4 linked regions of the Alligator mississippiensis genome follow. The protein of the gene in region 3 interacts with the protein of the main gene of each other region in a pairwise test. Links are inferred from orthologs where the notes say so. Each region holds a gene or a part of one and is shown on either strand. Other genes may lie near its edges.

Evidence for each region.
Region 1: the proteins of BHLHE40 (region 3) and cytochrome c oxidase subunit 5B, mitochondrial interact in binary tests that used the Homo sapiens proteins (3 or more experiments, as listed by UniProt). The two-hybrid records come from large-scale screens. The link is inferred for Alligator mississippiensis from reciprocal best matches to the Homo sapiens genes BHLHE40 and COX5B.
Region 2: the proteins of BHLHE40 (region 3) and STK19 interact in a two-hybrid assay, tested with the Homo sapiens proteins (2 studies listed by BioGRID). The two-hybrid records come from large-scale screens. The link is inferred for Alligator mississippiensis from reciprocal best matches to the Homo sapiens genes BHLHE40 and WHR1.
Region 4: the proteins of BHLHE40 (region 3) and AANAT interact in binary tests that used the Homo sapiens proteins (3 or more experiments, as listed by UniProt). The two-hybrid records come from large-scale screens. The link is inferred for Alligator mississippiensis from reciprocal best matches to the Homo sapiens genes BHLHE40 and AANAT.

The regions. Positions count from the first base shown.
Region 1 is NC_081830.1:10,720,509-10,725,781, forward strand, and holds cytochrome c oxidase subunit 5B, mitochondrial, read right to left. Parts: upstream 1,432-5,273; 5' UTR 1,371-1,431; coding exon 1,262-1,370; intron 1,163-1,261; coding exon 1,092-1,162; intron 1,004-1,091; coding exon 904-1,003; intron 710-903; coding exon 597-709; 3' UTR 512-596; downstream 1-511. Other genes in the region: protein FAM178B, read left to right, coding at 2,075-2,311, 2,401-2,470, 2,607-2,872, 3,019-3,074, 3,193-3,285, 3,435-3,593, 4,699-4,804, 4,981-5,062 and 1 more. UniProt on the Homo sapiens protein: Component of the cytochrome c oxidase, the last enzyme in the mitochondrial electron transport chain which drives oxidative phosphorylation.
Region 2 is NC_081834.1:62,525,126-62,532,956, forward strand, and holds the start of STK19 (inactive serine/threonine-protein kinase 19), read right to left. Parts: upstream 3,001-7,831; 5' UTR 2,906-3,000; coding exon 2,641-2,905; intron 1,453-2,640; coding exon 1,307-1,452; intron 1,237-1,306; coding exon 1,141-1,236; intron 1,036-1,140; coding exon 896-1,035; intron 675-895; coding exon 577-674; intron 504-576; coding exon 356-503; coding exon of another isoform or gene 352-355; exon of another isoform or gene 343-351; intron 1-342. Other genes in the region: DXO (decapping and exoribonuclease protein), read left to right, coding at 3,753-4,135, 4,860-5,089, 5,636-5,855, 6,846-6,981, 7,064-7,158, 7,481-7,646. UniProt on the Homo sapiens protein: DNA-binding protein which is required for efficient transcription-coupled nucleotide excision repair (TC-NER). Acts as part of a TC-NER complex which assembles and interacts with RNA polymerase II (RNAPII) when it stalls at DNA lesions.
Region 3 is NC_081835.1:11,999,780-12,007,623, forward strand, and holds the start of BHLHE40 (class E basic helix-loop-helix protein 40), read left to right. Parts: upstream 1-4,841; 5' UTR 4,842-5,063; coding exon 5,064-5,143; intron 5,144-5,278; coding exon 5,279-5,348; intron 5,349-5,756; coding exon 5,757-5,864; intron 5,865-6,851; coding exon 6,852-6,975; intron 6,976-7,844. UniProt on the Homo sapiens protein: Transcriptional repressor involved in the regulation of the circadian rhythm by negatively regulating the activity of the clock genes and clock-controlled genes.
Region 4 is NC_081831.1:13,975,777-13,983,445, forward strand, and holds the start of AANAT (serotonin N-acetyltransferase), read left to right. Parts: upstream 1-4,653; 5' UTR 4,654-5,010; coding exon 5,011-5,167; intron 5,168-7,211; coding exon 7,212-7,366; intron 7,367-7,669. UniProt on the Homo sapiens protein: Controls the night/day rhythm of melatonin production in the pineal gland. Catalyzes the N-acetylation of serotonin into N-acetylserotonin, the penultimate step in the synthesis of melatonin.

The sequences.
Region 1 (5,273 bases), on a different chromosome or scaffold from region 3:
CAGGGCTGGCATGCAAGTGGTTAATGCAGGGCTGGCACCCCCCTCCCTTCCCACCAGTCTTTGCTGCCCTCTGGAGGTTAATACAAGCAGTGCCACTCGTGCTATCCCCAAAGTTTGAAGGCAGGTTGAGCTCTCCCTACCATGCATCTGGAGGGCATCTCCTCCCCCCTACATAACAAGAACTCACCCCCCAGGCAACATGCACAGGCCTTGGGTAGAAGCCAAGCTCTCCCTCCCCATCATACCTGGGACCTTGTTCCCCTTCCCAGAGCAGTAACCCGTGCCACGCTGGGCTGGGACTGCTGGCTCATCCGAGGCTGCTACTACTCCCAGCACCCCCACACCACATGGGGCCAGTCCTTTGCACCGCTCCCCCAACATAACACAAATCCAGGGTCCCTGCCCCAGGCTGAGGCTCTCCTGAGGTGCAACGAGCGTAGAGGCACGACTCTAGAGAAGGCAGATACACCTTCATCCTTTGGCCCCAGGCAATGAAGAATACAGTGCAAAATAGGAGACAGTCACAACTTTATTGTTCTCCCAGAATCAAACATAGGGGCAAATAGAGTAGAGCAGGTCAGGGCAGGGCAAGGAGCTCAATGGGGCACCTCATGAGGCACCAGCTTGTAGTAGGCCCCACAGGATGGGCAGCGCTGTGGCTCACCTTTGTGCAGCCAGAACCAGATGATGGCACTGTTGTCCTCTTCACCTGCCAGGAGAGAGTGAGATCAGGGTCACAGCCAGAACATTTCCCCTCCCACCCTCAGCTGCTAGGGGTGAGACAGAGCAGGACAAAGGGCTACTTCTGCCCCCTAACCCCCAGCTCCAGCAGAGCCCTTGTTTTCACCTCCACCCCAGGCTCTTCCCCTAGCACGTCCCCACTACACCTGCCCGGACACTCACAGATGCAGCCGACAATCCGCTTTTCATTGACAGATGGCACCAGGGTGGGGTGCTCCCGGGTCCCCCCCTGGCTCTTGGGTGGGAACATGCTGTACGGGTCCTGAAGAGAGGAAGGCGAGGGCATCAGCACCTACCAGGGCCCCCAGAGCCCCCCATGCCTGGTCCCAGTCCCCGCCCCCCGTGCTCACCGTTCCCTTCTTGACAGCCTCCAGCACCTTCCGCTCCAGCCCGGTTGCCTGCTCCTCGTCGGTGGGGACGCCTACAGGGCGTGCAGGGAACCACCGCGTCAGTCAGCCAGGCCCGCCCCCCGCCCTTGCCCCGGACGCCTGTGTCCTCCACGCTCCCCGGCCCCCCTCACCTCCGGCGGCGGTGCGGGCGGGCGCAGCAAGGCGCAGGACGAGCGCGGGCGAGTGGCGGGCGCCCAGGGCGCGGAGGGCGCCGTATGCGCGCAGAAACCGGGCTGCCATAACGTCCAACAGAGACTACACCAGGCCGCTTGACGACTGCGGCTACTTCCGGGGACAGCGCCGGAAGCGGGGCGGTACTTCCGCTGAAGCGCCCGGCGGGAATTGGCCGCTCCGCGCCACGTGGCCAGAGAGGCTGGGGGTAGACGGGGGCGGGGTCTCCGTGAGCCCGGCGAGGGGGTGACCTTGGGTTTCTGCCGGCGACTGCCACCTGCTGGCCGGGGGTGGGTTTCCAGAGGACCGCCCTGCGTGCTCTGATTGGGTGCGTTTGACGGGGCAGGTGCGGCCTCTGATTGGTCCGGCTGGCGGGGTTGCTGATTGGGCGTCGCGCGGAGGGGAGCGTTGGGCAGGCGGCGGTTGGGATTCGGAAGGCGCGGAGCACGTGGCAGCGGGAGCGGTGGGGCTTTGGCTCCGCCCACAAGGGCAGAGGTCGGGGGGCGACGACCCCCAGCTGGGGATGGCGCCCAGGCGCCCGGCTCCAAGCACTCCCCTGCTCTGACCACTAAACCCTACTGCCTTGCCACGTGTGACGTCACGGGGGCATCGTGTGACGTCAGGGGGACAGTGGTGTGGTCACAGCGAGTGCTTGCTTCCCCACGCAGGCCCCAGCTCCCAGGAAAAAACCATCCTGGAGGCTTCACCCCCTGCATCAAGTGCCAAGACACTGTTTCTCCCCGCTCCAGGCCCCAGTTCTTCCCCCTGGCACCATGGCCCAGCAGGCGGTGGTGGCCCCAGTGCCCACCCCAGAGCTGCCCATCCTGGGGGGCCTGCGCTGGTACCAGATCCCACTGTCCTCGCTGCGGGCGCCCAGCACGGGCCTCTTCAGCCGCCGCTTTCAGGACAGCCTGCAGCGCTACCGCCAGCTGCGCCTCACCAAGCGCCTGCGTGTCGGCCGCCCCTACGCTCTGCTCGGGGACCCCGACCCGGCCTCCCCGCCCGCCCAGGTGAGCCCTTTGCCCCTGGGGCAAGTAGGGACAGTCCTGGGGTAGATCAGCTCCCTTCTTGTGCCCACCTGACCCTGCTGGGCCCACAGGATAGCAGGAGCCAGCGACCTAGAGGCAGTAGAGCCCGGAGCAGCCTGGGCCTTGCCCCATGCCGAGCAGGTAACACCAGACCCCTCCAGGTCCACCGTCGGGCATCAGCCCTCTCTGCCCCCATTACTCCTACCCCCTGGCACAGCACCAGGCTCTGCTGAGGAGAGCAGGAGCCATCCAGTGACTGTCCTCCTGCCCTCTGAAGCCTCCAGGCACTGGCGCGGCTCCAGGGCCCCCCACCGGAAGTCCAAGAGGATGCCGCATCTGCCACAGGGCACCAACACCAGCCCTGATGAGGCCTTCCCAGCTGACTGGAGCCCTGTGCAGCTGGACTTCCTTTGCCAGGCTGGTATGGTGTCCCCCAGCCAGGATACGGCTGGATCTGGGGAGAAGCAGGACGATGAGGAAGAGCTGTTGCCCCTGGCGCAGCTGCTGGGGGGAGCAGCACGGATCCTCCCGGAGCCTGGCATGGTGAGTGTCAGGTCAAGGGCATCACTAAGGGGTTGATGCGTATTGCTGGGCACATTCCTGCCCCCAGGAAGTGTCCAGCAGTGCCTTGAGGGGTGGGGGTGGGGGGGCACAGTGCCCCCAGAATGATACCTGCCTCCACCAAACAGGGCCTGCAGCCAGATCCTGATGTCAACAGTCTGGCAGCGCTGCTGCAGGAGAGAAGGTGAGCTATGGGGAATGTACGCTGGGGTGGGCCCCGGTGCGGGGCCGGGCATGGCCATGGGAGTGGCTTTGGAGCATTGGCCCTTGCACCGCCCTATGCTCAGTGCTGCCATGCCCAGGGCCTGGTGCTTGGTGGGCGAGGGGCTGCCAACACTGCCCGATGACAGCTCTGAAGATTCACCCGATGACACACCAATGCCCGAGGAGCACAGGTGGGACATAGCACACACAGCTCCCCTCCCTCCCCCCCCCAGTTTACCTCCTAAGCTGTCTGACAGCCTGGCTTAGATCCCCACCAGGCATGGGCAGTAGGGGGGCCCCCAGGCTGGCACTGAGATGCCTGTGCTTGTTCCTGCTGCAGGCTGTTTCTGGAGCGCTTTGCACTGGTCACCAGTGAGCTGCCAGACTTTCCCCCTGGGGAGGGCATCTTTGGGGAGGCCATGCCTACCCCTGCGTCCCTCCCAGCTGTGTGCGTCCATGGCCTGGCACCCCAGAGCCCTCTTGAGGCTGCTTTTCTCGAGTGAGTACCCCCTTTTTCGCTTCTGTCCCCTGGAAACTACCCCCTGGCCTGTAACTGGCCCATGGCAGGGAAGCTGCCCTGTTGAACCGGCCTGAGCCTGTAACTGCCCCATCAGCTGCCTGTATTTAGCTCCTCTTGTCCCATCCCAGGGTAGAACAAAGGGACCCTTGATGGGGCAGGGCCCCTCCTCCATACCCCCACCTGCCCCCACCCCAACCCCAGGACAATGGGCCCTTTGATAGGGGGAGTATCAGACACCAACTCAGCCCAGGAAGTCGGAGATGGCACACTCATGTGTGTTCATGTGTTGCATATACAGGCTTGTCTGTGGGGGCAGGTAGTTTTCACACATGACTACATGGGCCGAACTCCTGGGGATGCATGTCTGTGTTGCCTGTATGTTGCATGTGGCTGCAGGTCTGAGCATGTGTGTGGTATGGGTGTTGCCTGCTGCAACACACGTCCCTGGGTGGATGGCTGCGGGAGTGTGTATTGCATGCATGTCGCCTGGGCTTATGTGCATGGCATATGGATTTGTGCATCACCCAGAAGCGTGTGTGTTGCATGTGTCTGTATCTGGGCGTGTGTGACTACGCGTTACATGAGTCTGTGTGTCTAGGGGTGCTTGCATTGCATGTGCCACCCATGAATGCACATCACATGGATTTGCCTGTTGCACCTGGACGTTGCATGCAGATACATGTCTGGACTCAGGTGAAACACGGCTGCACATACACGTTGCACAGGGCCATGTGTCTGTGTGTGCAAGGTGACATGCACAGAGGCATGTGTGCATGGGGCACATGGTCGGGGACAGCATGTGCATGTGCGTGAGGGCACGCCTTCCACGTGGCCGTGTGCGTGTCTCGGCACAAAGGCTCTGTGTTCTTCTCCCACCCTCTGTGCCCTTTGTATGTGAGCAGCTGGGACCGCCTCGGGCCTGCACTATATATAGTAATGCTGCCCCCCCCACCATGGGTCCCAGTCCTGCTGGGCTGGATCCCTGCCCCCCAGAGATACCAGGAGTGTATGGGGGGTGGCCCTGGGCATTGTGGGGGATGGCACAAGGCCTGCCCCCCCCCTTAACCTCTTCCTGCCTGGGCAGTGCCACGCCAGCTGGGCAGGTCACCTTCGTGCGCACCGGGCTGCTCACTCTGCTGTACCGCCATGTGCTGGCCTGCCCCCCACCTGTCCTGCACTGGCTCTTCCAGGTAAGTCTGGCCACATAGAGCAGGCACACAGGCCAGGATATGGGAGAGGAACCACAGGGTGGGTTCTATGAGTGGGGAGCCAGGGGTGGTCAGTGGCTGCCCATACCAGGACATAGCCAGGGCTATGGGAAGTTACTGGAGGCAGCCATGTGCTCTCTGATCTCTGCCCCCCTCAGCTGGCATCGCAGCCTGCAGGTGCCGCCCCCAGTGCCTTCCAGGCCCTGTGGGAGATCAGCATGCAGCAGATTGATGCACCTGGTCAGTGCAGGCATGGGGGAGGGTGGATGGCTTTGCCTATTTCCCCTGCCATGGCTGGGCCTAGTGCTCACGGCAGGGGCATGGGGACCCTGCTCATCTCATGCCTTTTCCCCCCCACAGAGCTGTGGTGCCCATCACTGGGTGAGGTGGGGCAGGCACTGCAGCGCCTGGGTGCCCACCAGGCCACCCTCAGCCCTCCTGGCCAGCTGCC
Region 2 (7,831 bases), on a different chromosome or scaffold from region 3:
GGCAAAAGAGGGGGGCGGGACGGAAGGGCTGGATCCCCCCTACCACATCTTGGGTGCCTGGGTCCCCTCCCTCCCATGAGCCTGGCATGGGCGGGCAGGCAGGAGCCCGTTCATCCAGGTCCCTTCCAGGTGAAATTGGAGTGGGGAATGATTTGGAAGGCCGGATGCCTGCCTGGGGTCTCATCCTTTGCAGTCCCCAGTGCCTGGGTTCTCCCTCAACCATGAGAATGGATTAGGGACATGATGTGGGAGCCTGGGTCCCCTTGCCCTGGAATCCCAGATGCCCGTGTCCCGTCCCCAACATGGGACTGGATTGGAGGGGTGACATAGGAGCCCAGACACCTGGGTCCCTCACCAACGGACCAGCTGGGCCCCGATGAGGTCGTGGATGTGGTAGGGCAGCCCCAGGCGGACAGCACGGGGCGGGCGCCGGGTCTGCAGCTCCGCCAGCAGCACCTCGCGGTACCGAGCCTTCTGGATCAGGGCCAGCACGGCCTTGCGCCCTACAGGAGGAAGGGGGCAGGTCAGGGGAGCCCAGCCCTCGGAGGGGAAGGAGTGGATCAGGGGAGCACTCACCTCGCAGGAAGGCCTTCATGAAGCGTCCAGCACCCGGCACGGCCAGCCACCAGCTCCCGGCGTCTCGCACCGTCAGCACTCCAGCGCCCACCAACTGCCTGGGGAGGCATGGAGGAGCTGCAGCTGGCTCTGGGTGGGTAGGGCCGGGTGTAATGGGGACAGAAGCTGCAGCTGGCTCCAGGGCAGGTGTTGGGCTGGGTGTAACAGGAACAGTAGCTGCAGCTGACTCTGGGGGGCATCAGACTGGGTGTAATGGAGACAGGAGCTGCAGCTGGCTCTGGGATAGAACAGGGCTGGGTGTAACAGGTCACAGACTCACGTGATGTCGGCGTCCCGGAAACCGAAGTCCTGCATCATCCTCACCATGTCATAACTAATGTCAGCACAGGGTGTGAGCACCGAGTCCAGGAAGCGTCGCACCAGCGCCTCTGACTCCTTTCCCGCCACCGCCTCCACCACCTGATGGGACCAGGACCCATTACCCAAGAGCCAGCCATAGCTCCTGCCCTGTTACACCCAGCCCTCCTCCACCCTACAGTCAACCACAGCCCAGCCCAGCCCAACCTTGGCCTTGTAGTCCTCAGTGAAGACTACCCCGAAGGCATCAGTGTCAAAGCCGAGCTGGAAGAGGCGGACCAGGCCCTCCTCCTTCATGCTGTTCTGGGGGGAAGGGGAGAGTCAGAGGGGCCCTAATATTAGTGGGGGGCAGGGGCCCGATCCGGGGGCTCACCAGGTGCTGGTCCACAGCTGTGCGAGCAGGCACCAGGCTGTAGAGCTGGTGGCGCAGCACAAGGGGGGGCAGCGCGTCATCGAACAGCCCCCGGGGGAAGAGCGCAGCCAAGGAGTGCAGCGCCCCCTCCACTGCCTCACGGCCCTCTGGGAAACAGGGGCACTGGGTCAGACCCTGCTGCGGAGACCCAGATGTCCAGGTGCTTGCAGCCCCCCTTCACCCCCCACTTCTCCCCCAGGGAACCCAGTTCCCAGCCCCCTCCTGGTCTCACCCAGCTGGATCTGTTCACTGGTCAGAGGACCCAGGCAGCCACCCCCCAAAGAACCCAAGTGTCCTGCCCCCCAACCCCCACCAAGAAGCCCAGACTTCCAGTCCTCCCCACCCCCACCCCAGGGACCCAGGCATCCTGCCCCACCACCCTCCAGGGATCCAGGCATCCTGCCTCCCCGAGGGGACCCAAGTATCTTCACTAATGCCAACTGTCACAAAGCCATCACAAAATTCAGGATTTCGAAGTCAAAATGACTCTGACATTTGATTTCCTGATCCAACTCTCAGATCTTGAGATTTTCCCCAGCTGGTAAGTGGAGGGAATGGGCAGGGGAGAGGGAACGGGTGAGGTGTGGGGCAGACTGAGGCCCCCGCAGTGAGGGAGGCGGTGGGGCAGGAGCAGGGGTGGGGGTGAATGGGGCCCCGGGCCAAGGCAGGTCATCCAGAGGCACTGGGGGGTGGTCCCCTGCAGGAGCATGCACCCCTGGGGGAGGCATGGGCAGCCCATGCCCCTGCAAAACAGAGGTGAGCTGCCCACTGCAGGTACATGCCCCGCCATGCCTCCCCTCAGGGTGTGCGGCGCTGTGGAGGGGAGGCCCTAGTGCCCCATTCACCCCTGCCCCAGTGCCTCCCTCACCACAGAGATCTCTTTTGCACCCCCCCTTTCCCTCCACTTACCAGCTCAGAGCCATCTGTGCATCTGTCAGTGTCTCCATGCATCTGCCCCTCACTCCCACCCCCAGCCCTGCTGCTGCCCCTCACTCCTGACCCGCAGTACCTGCATCTTGCCAGGGTGTGTGGGGTCCCCCTTCCCCGGGTCCAAACCCTGCACACACGCACAGCCCCCCAAGCCTTCACAACCCCCCCCCCCCCACACACACACACACTTCAAAAATAGCATCTGCGATCTAGGTGCCAGTCTCTTGATTGTTTATGAGTTCGTCTCATGGTGTTTTGGCAGGGTGGGGCTGGCAATGCTGCGCCCCTGGCACCCCCGGCATCGTGCCCTGCCCCCCACCAAGGAGCCCAGGCTTCCTGGGCCTGCCCCGGGGACCCAGGCGCACCGGGCTCGGGCTCTTGCCGCCGCCGCCGCCGCTTGTGGGCCCCGAAGGCGTCGGCAAGGAGGCGACGGCGGCGCCGCTCCATGGCCCCCGGTCCCCGGGAGATGACGTCACGCCGCCCCCTCTCCGACCCCAGGACTCCCAGCCAGGCTGGGTCGCCGGAGGACGACGTCAGCTCACGCGGAAGAGGCTTCAAGCACCTTCCTCTTTTCCGGAAATGAGTTGTGACGTTAGGACCCAACCCCCGAACTACGCTCAAAAATGACATGGGCGTGCTGGGGGAGACTAAATGAGCAGGCAAGGAGTTGTCACGTGGGCGCGCTGCCGGGTCAAAGGTTGGGGATGTGCGGCGCAAAGCTACCCTCCGCCATCTTTTTTGTGGGCAGGGCTGGAGCTCACCAGCCGGATGAGGCCATCTTGGATGAGGGCAAGCGCCCTGCCTTTGTCAGCCATCTTTTTTGAGAGCGGGGTGCCTGCTCTTGCGCGTAGCAGCCAGTCCCAGGGCCCGCCGCCTGCGGGGCCTTTGACGTCACCGCCACGCCCAGGAGCAGGGGGCGGGGTTTCCCCGTCGCTCTGTGATGACGCCACACGGAACTCGCGCCACCGCGGCGGCCTGAGAGGGACACGGGAGTCGCCGGCGGCGGTGAAGGGTCAAAGGTCGCCAGACGGCGGGGGGCTGACCCTGGGAGTGCAAAGGGCAAAAGTCACAGCCCCCGGCGGGGCCTCCCTTTGGAGGCCTAAAGGCTGCCCAGGGGCGGGGCCTCAAGGGTGGGGGCGGGGCCTAGGGTGAAGCTCTTGGGTGGAGCCCGGGAGTGCAATGGGGAGGGGGAGGAGAAAGGGGCGGGGCCTTCGGGCATAGGGGCCCTCGGGGGTGCCGCGTAGGCTGTCCATCCCAGAATGCTCTGCGGTCGGGAGGTGGGCTCGACGCGGGTCCCTTTGGGAGGAGATGTGGGGATTTCCTTCCTGGGGTCAAGGGTTAAGTGGGAAGGGCCTCAGGACGTCACTGAGGCAGGGTAGGTCCTGGGGGCCCACCTGGGCTAAGGGAATCTTGGGGTGTCAATGGTGGGAGGCAGTGGTGGTCCCTTCACCCCTCCCCCCCACGTCCCCAGGTCTCCATGGCAACCGCCGCCCACCCCCGCAAGCGCCCCCGAGAGGATGACCCTGAGGCCCCGCCCCCACAGCGCGCCCCGAGCGCGCCCCCCCGCACCCTGCCCGTGTCCCCAGGGTGCTATGCCGGGCCCTTCCCCTTCTATGGGCGCCCGGCTGAGGTCGGACACTTCTCCCTGGACGAGCAGCGCCGCTACCACGGCGACGCCCGGCAACTGCGCTACTTCGCCCCGCCCCCCGACCACCGCCCCGACCCCCCCTTCGACCTGCTGGACGGCTACCAGGACCGCTACGTGCGCCGCGATGAGGACGTCCGCGAGGGCCTCGACCACCTGCTGCGCTGGGTCCTGCACAACCGGTGCCGCCTGCCTGGCCACCGCCCCGGCCAAGGGTCAGCTGGGGTCCTGCGTGTCGATGGAGTCTGCCACGGCCTGGAGGGTGGATGAATGGGGACCAGGGCCCTAGGGGGTGCCAGGGAGTGGGGGGTGGGTGGATGGGGTCCTCCATGAGCCTTGGGAGTGCCAGGTGGTGGATGAATGGGTTCCTCCACAGCCCTAGGGGGTGGGGGTGATTAGGGTCTTCTACAGCCCTGGGGGTGCTGCGGGCCTGGGAAGGACTTTTCTAAACTGCTGTTCACTCTGGGACCTACTGATGGCTCTGCCCCTCCCAGTCCAGGCAGGCACCACCTATGTGGTTGGTATTGCCCCCCAGCCACTAGGGGGTACAGTGAAGGTGGAGTCTGCTACCTCTGAGCCTTCAGTCCCACCTGAGGCTGTTCATCCTGGTCCCTACTGATGGCTCTGCCCACCTTTCCCTCCCCAGCAGGCACCAGGTGAGCACACATGGGGGTTAGTGATGTCCCCACAGGCACTTGGGTGCTGTGAAGGCAGGACCTGCAGCCCTGGAGCCTCCATTGTGATCCACGGCTGTTTACTCTGGTCCCTACTGATGGGAGCATTCCTTTTCCACTCCAGCTGGCAACTGCTGAGCATGTGTGAGGGTCAGCGGTGCCCCCTCAGACACTGGGGGGATGGCATGAAATCAGAGCACTCAGCGCCTGAGCCCAGGGCTGTTCACCCTGGTCCCTACTGACGCTCCTCCCCTCCCCCTGGTAGGCGCCCGGTGGCGGCGGACGTGGTGACATGGCGTGGGCACCTCACCAAAGTGGTGACAACGCCGTACGAGCGGCGTGAGGGCTGGCTTCTGGCTGCCACCCGCTTCCACGGCACCATCTATGTTAGCGAGGTGGAGACGGTGGCCGCCCGTGCCCAGCGTCTGGCCCGGTCCGAGGACCTGCGGCGCCTCATCTACATGGGCTACAAGTTCGAGCAGTACATGTGTGCTGGTGAGTACCCAGGTGTCTGGGCTCCCTGCTCCCCCCCCCCCCCCCCTGCTCCACCCCACAGGCCACTCACAGCTGGGAAAGGCCCCGGGCACCAGACCAATGCTCTTTTAACCTACCAGACCCCGTTCTCCTTTTGTGCCTCAGGAAAGAACCTGGGCGTCCGGGCTCCTAGGCTCTCCTGTTCTCACCCCCCCCAGCATAGAAGACAACCCAGGTGTCCAGGCTTCTAGTCCCCCAGCTTTCACCCCCAGCCCCCCTCACCCCCCAAGAACCCAGGCATCTGGGGCCTCAGCCCCCATTTTCCCCCCAGTAAACCCAGCCTCCCAGCCCCAGTGCTGGAGAGACCCCAGGTGTCCGGGCTCCCAGCCTCCTCCTCCTCCCAACCAAGAACTCAGGAGTCTGGGCCCCCCAGCCCCCATTTTCCCCCCAAAGAACCCTTCAAGCCCCAGCGCTGGAGCGACCCCAGGTATCTGGGTTTCCAGCCTCCTGCTCCCCCACAAGACAACCCAGATGTCCTGGCTGACCCTCCCTCCCCCCCTGTGCCAGCAGAGCGGGCGGGGGGCGGTGCAGCACCTGGGGGGGTGGTGAACACCAACGCTGCCTACTGCACGGTGCTGCGCGCCCGCCTGGGCCCCCACTCGCTGCTCTTCGCCGCCGAGGTGGACTGCGCTGACCCCGCCCCTGGCCCTGCCCCTGACCCTGCCCGCTACGTCGAGCTCAAGACCACGGCCACCCCCACCGTCTCTGCCCAGCACCGTGCCTTCCGGTGAGTCCCTGATCCCTGATCCCAGCCAGCGCCGCTCCTTTCTCTGAGGTCTGACCCCTGGCCCCATCCAGCAGCACATCATCTGGTGAGCCCTTGACCTTATCCAGGGCCCATCCCAGCCCTGGTAATATCTGACCCCTGACTCCACTCCTGACCTTACTCAGTGCCACATCTTCTGGTGAGCCTCTGACCCTTCCTTCTTGACCCCCCCCCCTTTTTCTGGGGAAGCTTGACCCTAGCTCCAGCCCCTGACCCCACCCAGCATTGTACTTTCTTCATTTTCTGGCTCCACCCATGACCCCAGACCTTTCCCAGGGTCTGCCTTCTGGAGAGAGCCGAGCCCAGCCCCACCCTCTGCCCAGCATTGAGCTTTCCAGTGAAGTGTGACCCCTGACTCTACCACTACCCCATGCCCTCCAATTCATCCCTGCCTCCTGACCTGCCTCTGCCCCTTGACCCTGTCCAGCATTCCTCACTCTCTTACCCCCCCACCCAGTGCCATGCCTTCCCGTGAGACCCTAATCACACCCAGCCCCCTATCTTCTGGAGAGACCTAACACTTGACTCCACTCCCTAGTCTCTGCCCTAGCCCTGCGTGTCCTGGTGAGACCCCACGCCCTGATCCCTCACTCAGCTAGTGCTTTCTAGTGGACCCCAGCTCTTGACTCCTGACTCTACCTATGACCCTGTGCAGGTTCATGTCTTCTGGTGAGGCCCTGCCCCATGCCACACTGCATGGAGCCCTGACCCTCCCACTTCCGGAGTACACCTGGAGGGCTGTGGGGATGAGACACCCAGACACCTGGGTTTCCTCTCCACCTCAGGCAGATACTGGGGGTTGGGGTGAAAGATCCTGGATGCCTGTGTTCTTCCTCCGCTCCTGGTGGGGGTGGGGAGACAACCTGGACACCTCAGTTCTCTCTAGTTCTGGGGCAGTGGGGGCTGGGAGCTTGGACACCTGGGTTCTACAGCCCCCCCCCCCATCCACAGGCGCAAGCTGCTGAAGTGGTGGGCGCAGTCATTCCTACCTGGGGTGCCACGTGTAGTGACCGGGCTGCGAGAGCCCGACGGCTCCGTGGCTGCACTGGAGACCTACGAGACAGCTGCCATGTTCCAGCTTGTGCGGGTGAGTCCCTGCCCCCTACCCGCTACCTGCACTGACCCTTGATCCTGACCCCCCCCCCCCCCCCCCCCCGTACCCCCTGCAGGATGACCCCGGGGCCTGGCAGCCGGCTGCCTGCATGAACTTCGCCTTGGCCTTTCTGGACTTCCTTTCTCACGTTGTGACCCAGGATGACCCCCGGTGAGCATACATGGGACCCAGGAGTGTTGGAACCACTTCTCCCCTGAACTCCATTCCTACGCCCTCCCTGGGGGTGGGGGGCCTGATCTCAGGGGAACCCATCCCTACCCCATGCCCTGCTGGAAGAACCCAGGTGTCCAGGGACCCCATCCCCAAACTCTACCCGTATGCTGCAGTAGAAGGAACCAGGCACCTGGGTTCCCAGCCCCTGCTCTCAACACCCCCAACCCTCATCCATCTCCCAGGGATGGGTCCCCCAGCCCCCCCCGGGGAACCCAGGCATCTAGGCTCCTCTGACCCACCCTCTCTGCCCCCCTGCCAGGCTGGTGACCCTGTTTGCATGGGAGCCTGGTTGTCATGTGTCCTGGACCCGGCACCGTGACTCCGACTACAACTTCCTGCCCACCTGGTACACCGAGGCCTTGACCCAGGACCCAAGCCCCCCACAGCCCCCCCAGGCTCCCCCCAACCCAGCAGACCCCCAGTAAAGCCTTGGGGGGACGACGGAGCCACCCCACACCTTTGCTGTCCATTTGTCTCTGTAGGTCTCTTTCTAGCTAGGGAGCAGTTTACACAGGAAAATACAGTAACTGAGGTGGGACTTCGGCTCCAGAGTCACAGCCTCCCCAAGCCCTGGAGTAGCTCCTGGCCCCATGACCCAGACAGGGGTGGT
Region 3 (7,844 bases):
ACAAGTGCCAATGATTTTAGGAACTTTGCATCCCAAAATTCCCATTTTCGTAATTATGAGGGAAACTGCTCTGGAGGAGAAAGCTCCATGCACTCAGTTCCTTTAGCCAGCCCTTGCACACCTTGGAAAACAACATCCAAGCCCTTCCTTGCTAATGTATCTGTAAATAACTACAAATCCCCATTGGACACGAGCTGTTGCTATCCTATGATACTCAAATGCTCTAAAACTACCATTCAAAAGGCCAGATTCTCCCTTAATGGCTCTGGAAAATAATGCCAGTTCTTTTACCATTTTGCTTTAGTCCCTATGAGGTGTCATAAAAGAACCTGCCATGGAGAGGGAGCTCTGCAAACAAAACTGTGGCAGCAAATTGATAACCTCATCAGCCTTAGTTTATGGAAGCAGAAGCAGTAGCTCGACAGAAGAGTGTAATTCAATTCTCCCTCAATCGAACTTGATGCCCAAGAATGTAATAACTTCATGAGGGGCCCTCTTTTTAGGGGGATCTTTGCCAACCACCCTTAAGGTCATCAGTAAATCCTGATACAGAGTATTGTTTGGCAAGCGTACGCCCGGTAAAAGGGCTAAATCATGGGGGATTACTTCTGACCCTGCTTTGTAGCTCACCACCCATTGCAGGAATGCACTAAATATCTCTCAGAGCAGGCAAAAGTCAAACAGCCCACGTGCATGCATTGGCCCGCATCTATTTTGACTTTAAACATAAAACTCAGAACGAAGAAAAAATAGCAAACCCTGACCCTAAAAGTTGGACCTTGCCATAAGAAGCCTGCTGCTATGAACCTTAATTATTCCTATGCTTTGATAAAGAAACATTTTAGATGGTGAAACAAGACTAGTAGGTTAAACTCATTTCTCATTTCCTCCTCAGTGTCACAACAAGCAGCTTAGATCTTTAAAACAAAGAGTTTTACTTTTCATTATTTATGCAGTTTGCTTTACATATTTATCGCAGTTGTAGTAATTAACAGCCAATGAGTCAACCTCACTTTTGTGACAGTTATTACCAAATGTATTTAAGTGCCACCCTGGGAAACATTAATAAAGACAATCTCTGCTCTGAAGAGCTTACAATTGAAGGTCCTGGCCCTACATGCTTAATTCTCAGCACATGAGTAACTCCTTTCAAGTCAACGCAACTACCTTGGCACTTAAACATATAAGTGTCTGCCACATCATGTCTTAAGGGCCAAGACCTGAAGATGTTTGAAATGAGTGGCTGGCCATGGCAATGAATGCTAGGCTGGGTCATACAGTTTCAGGCTGGAGCTATGAAACACAGATGAGACCAGATCCCCACAGCATAGTTTTGTTTTGATGCTCTCAGTCACTACCACCACGGGCTCATTGTTTAAGCAGTGGATACCGCAGGGGTCTTGTAACTACGGTTTCTAGAAAACTGACCTCTGGGGCCTAGCAAGAGTAGAGTCAACTGAATCACCCTCTGAAGTCACAGGTCAACAGTACTAAACTCTCTTAAGGCTTCTCATGCAACCACACACTCATCCAATGATGGTGTACTTTGAAACGAACATGCCACCTATACTAGCATAAAACATTATCTCTGTTCACCAGCAAAGCAGTTGTTGACCTCATGCTCCTGACGGTCCCAGGAGCCACAGGATGAGATAGGGAAACCTTTGACAAACTTTCCGTGCCAAGTTTTGTTAGCACCTTATCTGGATAAATATACCTTGTGTCTTGTGAGCTTGCCTCTACTTGTGCCACGTGCAGCAAGGAAAATGATCCCAGCCCTCCAAATCAATAGGTTGCTTTGGCAGCTACACCACCATAAGCACTGTTAGCATTTGCATAATAGCTGGCATCTGAGAATCAAAGAGATCAAAGAGTTAAACCTTCCCAAACCCCACTAAGATAGGTAAGTCCTGCTACTTACTTGCAATGCTTTCATGGCTGGCCCTGCTCTTGCCTATTTTGTTCCTGGACTTGTGGAGTTTGGATGCTTTTCAGGGGTCTTCCTGGCTCTCCACTTAAGACCTCGTGTATACTTAAAGGTTTTGCCAAATTTGCTGTTCCTGTGTGGTTAAAGCAGTACCATTTCTGGCCCCTCTTTCCCCCCCACAACATAGTAGTGAAGCCACAGTTTTCTTGCATACAGATGTTTATTGCAGTTCAGTGAAGGGAAATAAACCATGCTGGAATATGGTCTCCATATTCAGGATATTTACCCGTATGCCCATACCATATAATGGTATGGGCATACAGGTAAATATCACAGGCTTCACCAGCATAGGAAGGCTGATATATATATATATATATATATATATATATATATATATAGTGTAGATGAGTCCTGAGCTACAGCAACCTCAGTTCTGTGGCCTCGCTTCCACTTTGCTTCCCATGGCTCTGCCTGTAGAGTAATGGACTTTAGCCATACTCCCATCCACTGCTACAATGGGCTCTGAGTGGAAAACAGATGTCCTCAAAGGCATCCATACCCAATTTAAGGCCCATATGTGTACCCAAACAGCATAAAAGGACCCTAGCTAAGCAGAGAATTGTGACATGAAAGCTTAAGTGATTTACAGAAAGTCCCATGGCAACCCCTGGCAGCAGTGGGACCAAAATCTAGAAGTCCTAACCCCCTGTCAGAACCCAGGATACGAGCTCCTACCACCATAAGGGCTTACCATAAATTGATACACATTTGGTCCTGCTTCCACCTTCAGTAAATGAGTCAGAGAAATGGATGCCAGGGCAACCCAGCTTCCTTTGTGAGCACTATGCCTCGCCTTCCTTTTTTGCATGAGGATTTCTGGGGCCCTCAGTGTCCTGCTCACGTTGCCAGTGAAGCTGTACTCAATCAGCCTTTGACCTCGCAGTGGTATCAGCGAAACCAACCCCTCGCCCTGATTTCTGTCCCTTTTGGCTCAGCTGCACTCCCCTCATCTCGCACGTCTTGCATGTTGCCTTGTTCGAACCACCAAATGCTTCTCTGCTCTCAGTGCCATTCCCACGCCTTGACATTTGGGCTGGGATATTCCCGGGCCAGCCGCACAACGGCATGTGGAAATCACTAAGGATGACGCAATGTGTTGGATCTGGAGCTGCGTTTTATCAAGCTGTTAGCCACTGGATTACTACAAAGTATAGACATTTTTTATAATAGCTAAATACATTGAAAACAGATGTAGCATGTTCTGCGTCTGTTCCCTCTGGAGAGCTGCCACGATTATGTAATAGCTCAGCTGGGGTGGCAAGTCTCTTTCAGTGGGTGGTAAAGCATTTGCCTAGGGTGACTTTGGGGCCCTCTCTCACTTATTTCCCTGCCGCTTGTGGCAATTTTTCAATTGAAAGTGCTCAGAAGAGTCATTTTTTGGCACTGTGTTTTATGAATGCCTTTCCCCCGCCCTGCCTTACTCCATTAAACACGGATAATAAGCTCAACACATTGCAGTCAGGTGCAGCCAGCGTGCTCTGCCTCTGCTGTGCTCCACAGACTTGGAGCCCTGCCCGCTCTGCTCAGAATAATACCCGGCGCTTAGCCGCTTCAAAGTGCTCTTACAGACGTCAACTAATTAATCTGAACAACACCCCTCCGAGGGAGGTGAGTTAGTATTACCGGCTCTGCCAAGCAGATGGGAGAGCTGGGGCACAGCCCCGAAGGGACCTGGCCAAGGTCAAAGGCGCCCGTGTCAGAGGAGGGAGGGCCGGGTTTGCTGGGCTCGGCTCAGACCACTAAGCCGGCCACACCTCTGCCTTATGTAAGATCCCAGCGCTTTCCCACGGGAGTGTCCCGTGCCCTCCGCACGACAGCCCTGGCGCTGGATGCCCTGCTCCAGCCTCGTGGGGCAGCCCTGCAGCCTACCCTGGTTCTCCCCATCCAGCCAAAAACACCCGGGGGGGCGCTGGCTCTGGCTGCGCCCACAGCCTGGCTCTTCTTTCATGGGCCAGGACCCAGGCTGGGGTGGAGGGGAACTCGTCCCCAGATGGCAGAGCCCTGGGCACTGAAGGGGCAGCTGGGGACACTGGAGAGGCAGTGAGGGGGAAGCTGGGCGTGCTGCGGGGACACAGAGGGGGCAGTGGGGGGACGCTAAGGGGGAACTGGGGGTGCACTGAGTGAGTGCATGGAAGAGGCAGTTAGGGCACATGGGGGGCAATGAGGGACGCTGAGGAGGCATGGAGGGTGCACTGGGGACTCACTGAGAGGCACTTAGGGCACTGGGGGCACTAAGGATGCACTGGAAGCACACTTAGGGTGCACTGGGGGCTCACTGAGATGGCACTGGGCACTAAGGGTGCACTGGAGGCACACTGAGGGTGCACTGGGAACACTAAGTGTGGGGGGTTGCACCAGGGGCACTAAGAGTGCACTGGAGTTGCACTGGGTGCTCACTGAAGTGGCAGTGGGGGGCACTAGGGGTGTACTGGAAGCACACTGGGGTGCCCTGGGGACACTGAGACAGTGGGGCACTGAGGTGGCACTAAGCATGCACTGGGGTTGCACTGGGGGCTCACTGAGGTGGCAGCGGGGGCACTAAGGGTGCACTGGAAGCACGCGGAGGGTGCACTAGGAGCACTAAGTGTGGGGGGGCACGTAGGGGCGCACGGGCGGCAGCCGCGTGGGCACACCGAGGCTGCAGCAGGCAGGCGGGCGGGCGGGGCGGTGCCGGCCGCAGGGCGCTCCCCCGCACGTTCCGGCCGCAGCCGCCGGCGGCTCGGGCGGGCGGGCGGGGGGAGCTGAGCGGAGCAGAGCGGTGTCCGCCACGTGAGGCTCATGTGACGGCAACCCTCCCTCCCTCCTCCTCCTCCCCCCGCCCGCCGCCGCCGCCGCCAGACGTGCCCGGAGTCACAGGGTAGAACACGTCGCTCCATCCACCCACCCGCTCCCATTTAACCCAGCCTGCCGCCTCCCCCGGACTCCTCACTCGCTCGCTCAGTCGCTGCCGACCGCGGCGGAGCGGCATGCCCGGCCCGCGCTGAGTCGAGCCGCCCGCTGCACCGGCCCCAGCCACCGCCAGCCCCGGCCCCGCCGCGCCGCGCCGCGCCGCAGCACCAGCCCTCCTCGCCCGGCCATGGAGAGGATCCCCAGCGCCCAGCCCCCGCCCGTGTGCCTGGGCAAGCTGCCCGCCCTGGACAGCCCCGACATGCCCGGGTAAGCCCCGGCCCTGCGGATGCCCCCAGCCGGGCACGGGCTTGAACCTGACCCCGGGGCGGAGGGGGCTGCAGCAGGGACGGGGCTTGAACTTCGATTAAAATTAACGCCGCTTTGTTCTCCCCCTGTGCGCAGGCTGGACTTCGCCCACATGTACCAGGTCTACAAGCCCCGGCGAGGCTTGAAAAGGAGCGAGGACAGCAAGGTAAGAGGAGCCCGCCTCGCCCGCGCCATCCACTAGAGAGCTGGCGCTGGCCGCCCGGATTTGGGGCGGCCGGGGGTGCCCTTTTGCTAGCGCGCGCACAAGGGTGGGAGAGAAGCCCGGACAGCTTGCCTTGCCCTGCCTCCAGGTTTCTTGGAGGTGGGACGGTTGCGCTTGGCGTAACCCGCGTCTCCTGCAGCGGGGGAAGGAGGGCAACCGAGTTTTGCAGGAGTTGAGCGATGCTTCTGCAAGGGATGAAGCCAGTCGAGCTCCCTGGTGACATCGCCGGGAGGTCGCGTTTTAGTTTCTAGATCATTTCTGATCGCTGTGTCTCTCCATGGTGCTAGGGACTCATTTGGGATCTGGGCTGACTGACTTAGCCACCTTTCTCTCCCCGCTGTTGGTTTGCAGGAGACCTACAAGCTGCCCCACAGGCTGATAGAAAAGAAAAGGCGGGATAGGATTAACGAGTGCATCGCCCAACTGAAAGATCTCTTACCAGAACATCTCAAACTTACAGTAAGTGAAAATCTGGCTACTGGCCAAGCTCCTCTTCCTTTTTGGGGTGCGTGCGGGTCTCCTGGATTTCTGTGCAAGTAAACGTGCCATCTAGAGGCTTCCTTTGAGCACTGCAGCATAGGCTGGGAAAGGCTGAGATTTGGCTGGAGTTGCCACTTTGATCTTCCTTTAGCATTAGATTTCCTTGCAAAGGCAGTGAATTTCTATACCAATGCCTGTAATGCAGTAGGGAGGGAGAAAGATAAGACCTGAGCTGCTGCTATGGTAAAATCGGGCCTCTTGTAAAGGTCATTAATGCACGCTTGAATTTTAACATCGTTCGGCAAAGGTTTGGGCATTTCCTTTTGGATCTTGGAAATGCTTCATGCTGCTCTTTGCAAAGTAGGACCAGATGCCAGTTACTAGACGATCCCTAATTTATCCCACAGTCCGGTCCTTTTAGATTTTGTTTCAATGCTACCTACTGCCAAGTTTTAAATGATTTGCTACATTCACATAGTGGAGTAGATATTCAAGGTAGCAACCTCTCCTGCTGTAGCATTCGGGACTTCTGGTTTTCAAAATATGAGTGTTAAGGGGCTGGGGGTTTTTTAAGTATATTTTTATCGCAGAACTTTATTGGGGAAAGCTATTTTGGTTGCTACTTTGCAGGTTTCCCCTCTCCTGTCGCTGTTCAAAAGAACCCTTGATTGGAGTCCCTGGTGTTAAGGTCACGATACCGGCAGGAGTAGCAGAACAGATAAATAAGATACTTTCCTCCAAGCTATGTAGTTGGTCCCAAAATACTCATAAGACATAACTACAGCTTTCTCTGCAGCCAGCACCACCTTGTTTTTTTTTTTATGGCTTACATAAACTGTGGAGTCAGAGCCACTTATTATTCAGGATAAAAGATTTTGCAGAGTAAGGACACTGTTAGCTCTCTCCCATGGCAGTAACTCTCTTTCATTTCATCAGAACTGTACTTATGTGTCCTTTTGTTTCCAGACTTTAGGTCACTTGGAGAAGGCAGTGGTTCTTGAACTTACCTTGAAACACGTGAAAGCGCTGACCAATCTCATAGAGCAGCAGCAGCAGAAAATAATTGCATTACAGAGTGGTTTACAAGCTGGTGAGTATTCAAGTCATGCTTGTATCACGTGAGAGTCCTAGTGTGCAGAGCAAACTCGCTTTCAGCTCCTTTGAAATATGGGTGACTTACGAGACTAGGTTTTGGAGAAGGGACATGTAAGCACATTCCCCCACTCCTTTAGTTACTCCTGCACCCTTCTCCCTGCAGCATGTATGTGTGCCCACATGCAGAAAAGATGCCCTATTTGGTTCATTTATACTTGGCCATGATTTTTTTTTCATTTTTCAGTTCAACTGAATATTAAAATATTTCATTTGGAAGTACATTTTTACTGGGCGGCCTAATCCAAAGATACACTGGCCAGAATCTTTCCATTGATTTGATGAGCTTTTACATTTTTTATTTATTTTTTTTCTCAAACAGACGAAAGCATCTGTTTAACCCACACTTTTTTGGTCTCTCCAGTAATCAGTTTGCCTACCCTTCGCAGCTTGAGGGGGAACCAGTCTAAAGGGCTTAATGATGTTCTAAATCTGTTTCGTACCTCCTTCTTTTCCGGCATTTGGTTGCATCTGGTAGGATAAAATCAGCTTTTCTAAGAAGGCTGCTACTCTTTCCACAGCCACGGGGTGTGCAGTAGAGTTACACAGCCAGAGCTGGCGTCACTTGTCAAAGTTTAAGCCCAGTCCTCCCTGGGGTCTGGAACTGAGGGGGAAAGTTTGAACTCTTGCACTTTTTTTTTTTTCCGATGGCTGTGGAATAGGTGTTTTCCTGATGAGTCTTTTTTGCTGTTCTTCTCAAACTAGCATCTGATTGCCACATATAATGAGTTGAAAAGTGAAACTTGTATGTGAAGACTCATTCTTAGATGGATATGGTAAAAATGGGTATTCAGCTTGACCGTAGCG
Region 4 (7,669 bases), on a different chromosome or scaffold from region 3:
CTCTCCCATCTGATGTTTTCTCCTTGTTCTCTTTTTACTCTTCAAAGTCTAGTCCAAGATAACGCTCATCACGCAAATACGTGTGCAATATCACATCTCTGCTTCCAGAGCTCAGAGATTACAACATTTTGGAGAAACTGTCCTGTGCCCCTAAATTCACACACAACAAATAAAGCAATTCACTATAAGTAAAAAAAGCAGCAATACTTTGTTAACAGTGAGAGCTGGGCCCGAGATAGGTCCATTTTCTTGGACATCGTTTACTGGCACAACTGCATGAGTTTATCTCCTCACTTCAAAGGAGCATGACAAGTCAATTTAATTTTTTTTTTAAATGGATAATCCATAAAAAAAAAGAGGGGAAATAAATTAATGGAATCAATTAAAACATTTTGATTTTGACCTTTTCCTAATTGGGCTTTTCCCCCCTACTATAAATTAGGTAGATCTTGTAACCAGACTGTCATTCTAGTTGACTGTCTTGTCAAAAGTGGAAAACCTTGTTTTGAAAATGTCAAAATGTGATGTTTGAACAATCCGGTCACTCTCCCACTCAGCTCCTGCCCTCTCTCACACTTTTTTTTTTTCCAAATCAGGATCAGTGTTGAAGAAGGCCCTTTACTGAAAAACCTTTTACGCTTTGAAGAACCAGCTTTCCCCCTCACAGAAACCATTTCCAAGCACACTGTTCTCAACTCCCCATAGTCCTGTTTCTACACCACTCTCTCAGTGCCAGCAATGCGTCTGCTTTTTTCTTTTTTCTGAAAATCCTATTAACCTGTTACAGGCCTATTGTTAGAAGCTGAGACTAGCACCTGCCCATCAGTAATCTTGAGTAACCTGATATCACACTGATCATTCAGTTTGCAATGATCACTGCCTGTATTTAGCTGGCAAACAATCATATGATACACTTCTGTTCATGAGAGTCAGCTTTTAGGCACAATTGCCCATTACCTCCAGCTGTGGGAAGTGCATTTCCTGTGAATTTAATGGATAGTTGTACAAAAATATTATGCGCTTCTATCTAGTTTTAATCATTTGGTGCTCACTCTCTCTAGCGCGCACACCAGAAGTTCGGGGCAAGTTCAAGGTGTAGGGTTTAATCCATGTCTGAGGTTTTTACATCTAGAGATCTAGTTGGGCTGTGAAGAATCGATCCTGTCTTGTGAGGTCAGGTACAACAGGCTGTGACCAGCTAATATGGGAACTAAAGGCCTCCGTTCATTAGGTTCAATAAAGGATTGTGTATGCATCCACCACGATCAAGGCTTGTCTATGCTCTTAGGGGAGACACCGTAAGCCCACAAAAAGGTTAAGGGCCTGTGATAAAGTCCAGATTGGGATCTGCAGCCATTTTCCAGGTTCTTCAAAGCTTGGGGAGATTTGATTTGGGTCCTTTTCTCCGCAAGAAAGATAAACTGTCACCATGTTATATCTTCAGGCCCATTCCATACCTCTGCTGCCATTCCCAGTTAGACCAGATTACAAAGGTCCTGATCCTTGGAACACATAAGTAATAAGCCATGCACATATTTGCAAGATCACATACTTTGACTGTAAACAATTGCCCTTAGCACCTACATTGGCCATAGAAAGGCCTGATCTGAAGTCTATGTTCAATGGTTTCCAGATCAGGCCAAATGTGTGTATGTAGTTCAAGAGGATATAGGAAGAAACACCCTGCTCAGCACAGGCTTCTCTTCAGAGTAGCTGCTCCACCAAGAAACCTACATCCCACGAACCGTGGAATCACTGTGCAAGGACGCTGAAATCTGCTGTAGACTCAGCTGGGCAGAACTTTGTAGCTTGGGCCTGTTTCTATACAACCCCACGTGGCTATGTCTTTTGCCACAGTGGATGGAGGGAGTGGAGGTCTCACTGCCCAGCCTGACTGCTGCTGGAGGTGGGAGCTAAGTGTCTCATGATCTATGGAAACTAGGACCCAGGTAGATGCACCCTGTGCAATTTTTCCCGTTCTCTGTCACAAGGTGATCCACTAATTTTTCTAGCTCTTTGGGAAACCTGCTGGGAATCAGCAGCTGAGCAGAGGGGAACAGATACTAAAAGAACCTAAAAGTGGTCACTAAAAGCTGCTGCCAGTTATTGTCCTGGAAGTCTTTGATCCAGCTGGAAGCTGCTTCCAAGGCCAAAGCCTGCACTGGATGAAATACAGACATTGGCCAACAAGAGTTTAGGGCTTTATCTGAAGACCGTTAATCAAAGGTAGTTTTTCTATCATTTTGGATGGGCTTTGGATTAGACTTATAGGCAGGGTCTCCAGGACTTTCTTTTCAATCAATCATATTGTAGAAGATGGGAGGTCAGGGTTTGAAGAAAGAGCCACTCAAGAGCATGAGCCTGCGCTTTTCTTGCTCATGGTAGAGCAGCATCTCCCTGCCTGGGCAGGCCCTCTACTTGGGAAGCCAAGGCAGCATAGCTGAATCTACTCCTTAACAGTCACTTTTCCAACTTATGCTCAGATCTTGCCCTTTCAAAGCAGAGGGATGCACTGCTGTGAGGTCCTACCACCCCTTCACCATGGGACCACCGCCAAAGTCATGGTGAACTCATTCTAACTGTAAACAGCTTACCTGCTACTCTTGAAAGACCTCAGTCACTTGGATAACTTTTACTCTTTTACCAAAGCAGCCGTGCAATACCATCCTGAGAATTCATGAGGCCTGGGGCAGCCTCCACTCGCCGCTGGAATAACTTTCTGAAGCTCCCTTTCTTCCAGACCCATGAAAGGTCAATTTGACTCTCAGACTAAGAAACAGTGGCCAAGTCCAGAGAATAAGGGTTAAGTCACGTAAGGGATCCATTAGTGCATAGGAGTGTCTAAGGTTCAAAATAAAACAGCCACATCCAACTACTACAACTTGGCTTACCTACCATCTAGGATTTTATACCGCCATAGCTCCCACCCACAAGCTACATCATTATAAACCACGTGTCCTCTCATGCAGACTTGTCCTAAGTGCATAACCAAGTATAAGCTGGTGTCATCCACCTGCTGAGGGAGCCAAGCAAGTCAAAATCTGCTTATCCTCATCCCTGACTTCAGGTTAGATTGCCTCATGTGTAGATGACAAAGGACTCAGTAATCTCCCCCCCCCCCCACTCATTTATGCATGATTTCTCCCCCAGGATAAAGGACTGCTTTGTAAAGCTGAGCAAACCTTGAATGGCTCTGAGAGCATCTGGGAAATCAAAGGAGCCTCAGGCTAGAGATTTTTCTCCTCTTGCTAAGCCTCAGTGCATCTCACCGGCAGACCTGTGTATCATTCTCCCCATAGTCACAGCTGGGAAATAGCAGCTGCAAGCAAATTCCTACATCCCTCCCTTCCCCATAGTACAAGCCATGGTGGAAGCCTCCTATTAAGCAGCCCACTGCAGCAAATGGGAGCAGATGATCCAACTTGCCCCCAGTCATGGAGTCTCTTGTAGAGCCTTCTGCTACTCATACCAAACCAGGGAACCTGGTGGCAAAGGTGCTGTAAAGGCTGGAAGCTGGATGAACTGCAGAATCAGGTCTAGCTCTGGAGGATCCGGAGACAGATTATAGCCATGCAGGTGGTATGTGTCCTGGCAAAGTCCTTCCCTGTGTGTTATGGGCTCATGTCTTGTCTCCAGCCACAGCCCATTTGTATCATAGAAAACAGGCATTTCAATTGGAGCTGTCAGCAGCTCTTGGAAAAGGGAGGGCACCAGCGCCAGACAAAGGCAGATGGCAGAGCATGTGTGAGAACCAAGGTGGCCATGCTGGCCTTGCATCCCCATTGCTTGCACTCTGCTCCCAGCCCAGTTGGAAACTCCAGCTGGGCAGTTCTTCTACAGCCACCTGCCCTGCTAAATAGCTTTGCCGGTGGGTTTCCCCCTCCATACCCGATATCTCCCCCACCACAGCCTAGCACACGGCAGCTCCAAACTCAGCCGTTCTGCATACCACCTTTCTCCAACCCCTTGCCCCTGCAGTAGGACAGTCTCCCCGCCTCAAAGCAGGAAAAACCTTGGCCTCTATGTCCAGCTTGCCAATTGCTCAGTGGTAACAAGTGTCAGGAGACAACCGGGACACAGATGCTCCGGACTTGAGCCAGGAAACAACAAGCAGAACCTGAGAACAAGGAGTCAGAAGCTCGGAGCTAGACAGAGAAACAAGGGTGCTGAAAGGGCTGCTGTTTATAAGCAGGTGCTGAAAGGGCTGCTCTTTATAGGCAGGAAGCTGCAGGTAACTAGGGCCAGATGGAGGTAGTCAGGCCAGGGGCAGCCAGACCCACTCAGGTACCCAGGGCCAGCTGGGACTAGCCAGCCTGCTGGATGCCCAGACTCCTGTAAGGGTATCTCAGGAAGCAGTAGGCCATGACAGCACGGAGGGCCCAATGCTCCACGGTGCTCAGCAGCTTCTGCGGGGCTCTGAGCTGCAGCAGTCAGAGGGTGCACAGCACCTTGTGAATGCTCAGCCCCGGCCAGGATCAGGCTCTAAAAGCACTTGTGCAGCCCCCAGATCCAGCTTTCTGGTGATCGGAGAGCGATGTTCTGTCCCTCTCTCACGTCAGCGCATTAACCTTGCCCATCTCGCCGCTTAACCCCGCTGCCTCTAAAAGCCACGGTTCCTCCCTGTGCTCTGTTGTTCCCACCCGGGTCTCCAGCAGCTGGGTCACTGGCTATTGTTTCTGTGCTTCTGATGGTGGGTAGATGGGCTTTGGTTCTGCAACCCAGCCCATGCATGGGCCCCAGCGCCATGACGGGTCGAACCTCATTTACATCAGGCAGCACCAATGACTAAGAGCCCAGGAACATTTGCATGGGCTGCCCAAGCTGCTGTGTGAGCACGTTCAGGGCTTGGTATGTGTATATATAGAGCAAGGAAGGCACACTGCCTAATCCCTTGTGGCTCAGCAGGTATTTCCAGCCCCTGGCTGATCGCACCAGGGAAGATTTACTGATATAGCGACTTGCTGGTGACCAAAAGGCATTTCCAGAGGGCAGCAGCACAGGAGACGGGAGATGTCGGTGATCAGCGCCCTGCCGTTCCTGAAGCCCGTTCACCTGATGTCTCCCCGCAGCTCCCCCGGACGCCAGCGCCGACACACGCTCCCGGCCAGCGAGTTCCGGTGCCTCAGCCCCGAGGATGCCATCAGCGTCTTCGAGATCGAGAGGGAAGGTAAGGACCGTTCTTCCTTGCCAGACCCCTTCCTAGGTTTAGAGCCCTTCCCTGCCCTCTAGTAAAAATGCTAGAGTAGGCATGGAAATGTCCCTCGGGGCTGGAGACTACACAATTAAATCGCACATGAGAAATAGCTGGGAATTACCACCGCAGCTTTCACAGAAACTGAAGCCCGAAGTGCTTTATAGAGTCAAACACAGGGAAAGAATGAGCCACCAGCCAGGCTGGAAATACCAGGGGAGTCTCTAGTGTCAGCTCCATTATAACCTGCTGTTCAGCTGTTCACAGAGTTGTCTGAAAATTCACTTTGCCCTTCCAAAAACAGTCGCTGCTCCCCGTTCTTCCAGCCCCCAAGCCCAGAGAGAATCACAGAGATGGTGGCGACTTTGGGGTCACTGGGAAGGAGGCGGCTAGAGGGTGGACTCCTGTTTCAGGGCCATGTCAGGGTCTCATTTTGTGCCTCGAGGAACGATGCCAGTGAGGGAACGCCTTGGCCCATCATGAAGCTATGTTTTTGGGACACATTAACCTGCTCCCCAGACAGGCTTCGTGCAGTCAGATGCCAATGCGCACCTCGCAATGGCTTGGAGAGCACTTGTTCCTTTTCTCCTACTATACTAGCAAGGACAGAGTCACCTGGACCAGAAACAGTCACCTACCCTCCCTGCTGCGTACCTCCTGCACATTGTAGCCATCTGGACCAGACTCAGTAGCATGAAATAATCTTCTTGGCCTCCGCACCCAGCAGGGCACAGACTAAAAGCTTCTTAGATCCAGGAACATTTGTAGTGAGGCCAGTTATTTTTAGGAGGATTCTCTGAGTCTTCAAAGCCCTGAAGATGCTGAGCCATATCCAGCGTTGCTCCCAGATCTACACCCTGGCTTAGTACTGGATTTAATTTTGCCCTTTGTTCCTTCTCATGACCATTTCTAAGGTGTGCCAGGAAACCTGCACAGCCAAAGACGAGTTATTCCCAAGAGGAATTCAGCTGAGACCCAGACAAAAATGACAGGTTACCCCAGCTGTTGCTAGAAGGCAAAGGTGTTCCTGAAGGTCACACGTTTTGCGAACACAACATACTTCACCTCTGCCCAGACTACCCGTCATCAAGCTTTGGCAGCTATTGCATTTCCAAACCAGCGGGGTTTGGTTTTCCCCACATCAATTAGCAGACACTGAAATGTGAAGCTACATAAACCTTCGTGCCTGGCTTGAAACCAAGCCCTAATGCTGCAGGAACGACTGAGAAAACTGCTGGCAGAACAGGTTCAAGTAGGGACTCATGATCCCGTTGAGGACTTTTCTGGGGTCTGAGCTGTGCGGATGAGAGAGCAGGCATCAGTTCAGAGGGTGGTCCTGCAGGGAAAACGGAGGGCTTTGCTGTCCCAACGGTGAGGCATCCAGTCTCTAAAAGGCAGGTAGCTGAGGAAGTGCACATGAGAAGAGGTAGCCCAAAGCCTTCTGGCTTCTTCTACTGAAAGCAGAAAAAGGCTCAGGTTGTTTAGAGCTGGATCCAAACTTCCCAGACTTAAGAGCATAGGACTAGGAAGCCACTGATCTCAATCCCCTGCATGCACAGGCAGCCTTTTGCCTAAGGATTCACCAGGACGGCCACTTCAGACTCGTATGCAGCTAAAGAGCACAAGGCCAGAAACACCCTACACCATGCTACATCTAAAAACAGGGTCATGAGGACACTGCCATTGCAGTGACAGACCTAGCGAGTTAACTCATGCTCAGAGGAACCTGGAAGAGGACCATGCCTCGGTGCAAAGGAAGACAATATTCCTCCTCGCAGTCTGTGCCAGTCTGACCTGGGGGCAAAATTCCTTCCTGACCTGCCATTTGGCAGTCAGTTTGGTCCTGAGTGGAGTGAGGCCCTCTAGCCCAATCCCTCTGGGCCTTCAAAAGTCCCTTCAATCCCAAGCTTCTGGTTCATGCCCGTTATGTAAATTAGCTTCAATTAGCCTGATGTTCACCCAGACTCAGAGGCGCTGTGGATTAGCTCTCTTTTCATGTGGCCTTTTTGTTCTTTTCCAGCATTTATATCTGTTTCGGGCGATTGCCCCCTGCACATGGATGAGATCCGACACTTCCTGAATTTGTGCCCAGAGCTGTCACTTGGCTGGTTTGAAGAAGGCCGACTGGTTGCTTTCATTATAGGATCTCTTTGGGACCAGGACAAACTCAGCCAGGTAAGAGCAGATCCCAATAGCTCCTCTCTCTTCCATGTGCTTTTCATGCTTGGTAACAAGAGGAGGACAACGATCGATCTCTGGAGACAGGAATCCAACAAATGTAGGTGTGACTGCTCCTCAGCCAGGGGACATTTGCAGTGGAGGGATGGTCACAGTGGTGTCAGTTCATCAAGCTCTGCAGCTTTCCTTGGAAAGCCAGTCAGTGACAGATCATGGGCCTCACTTTCAAAGTTAGAGACGTGAGTGAATTATATTCACCTAAGACATCCAAGAGGACGGTGCTGTGGTTAGAACTCGACC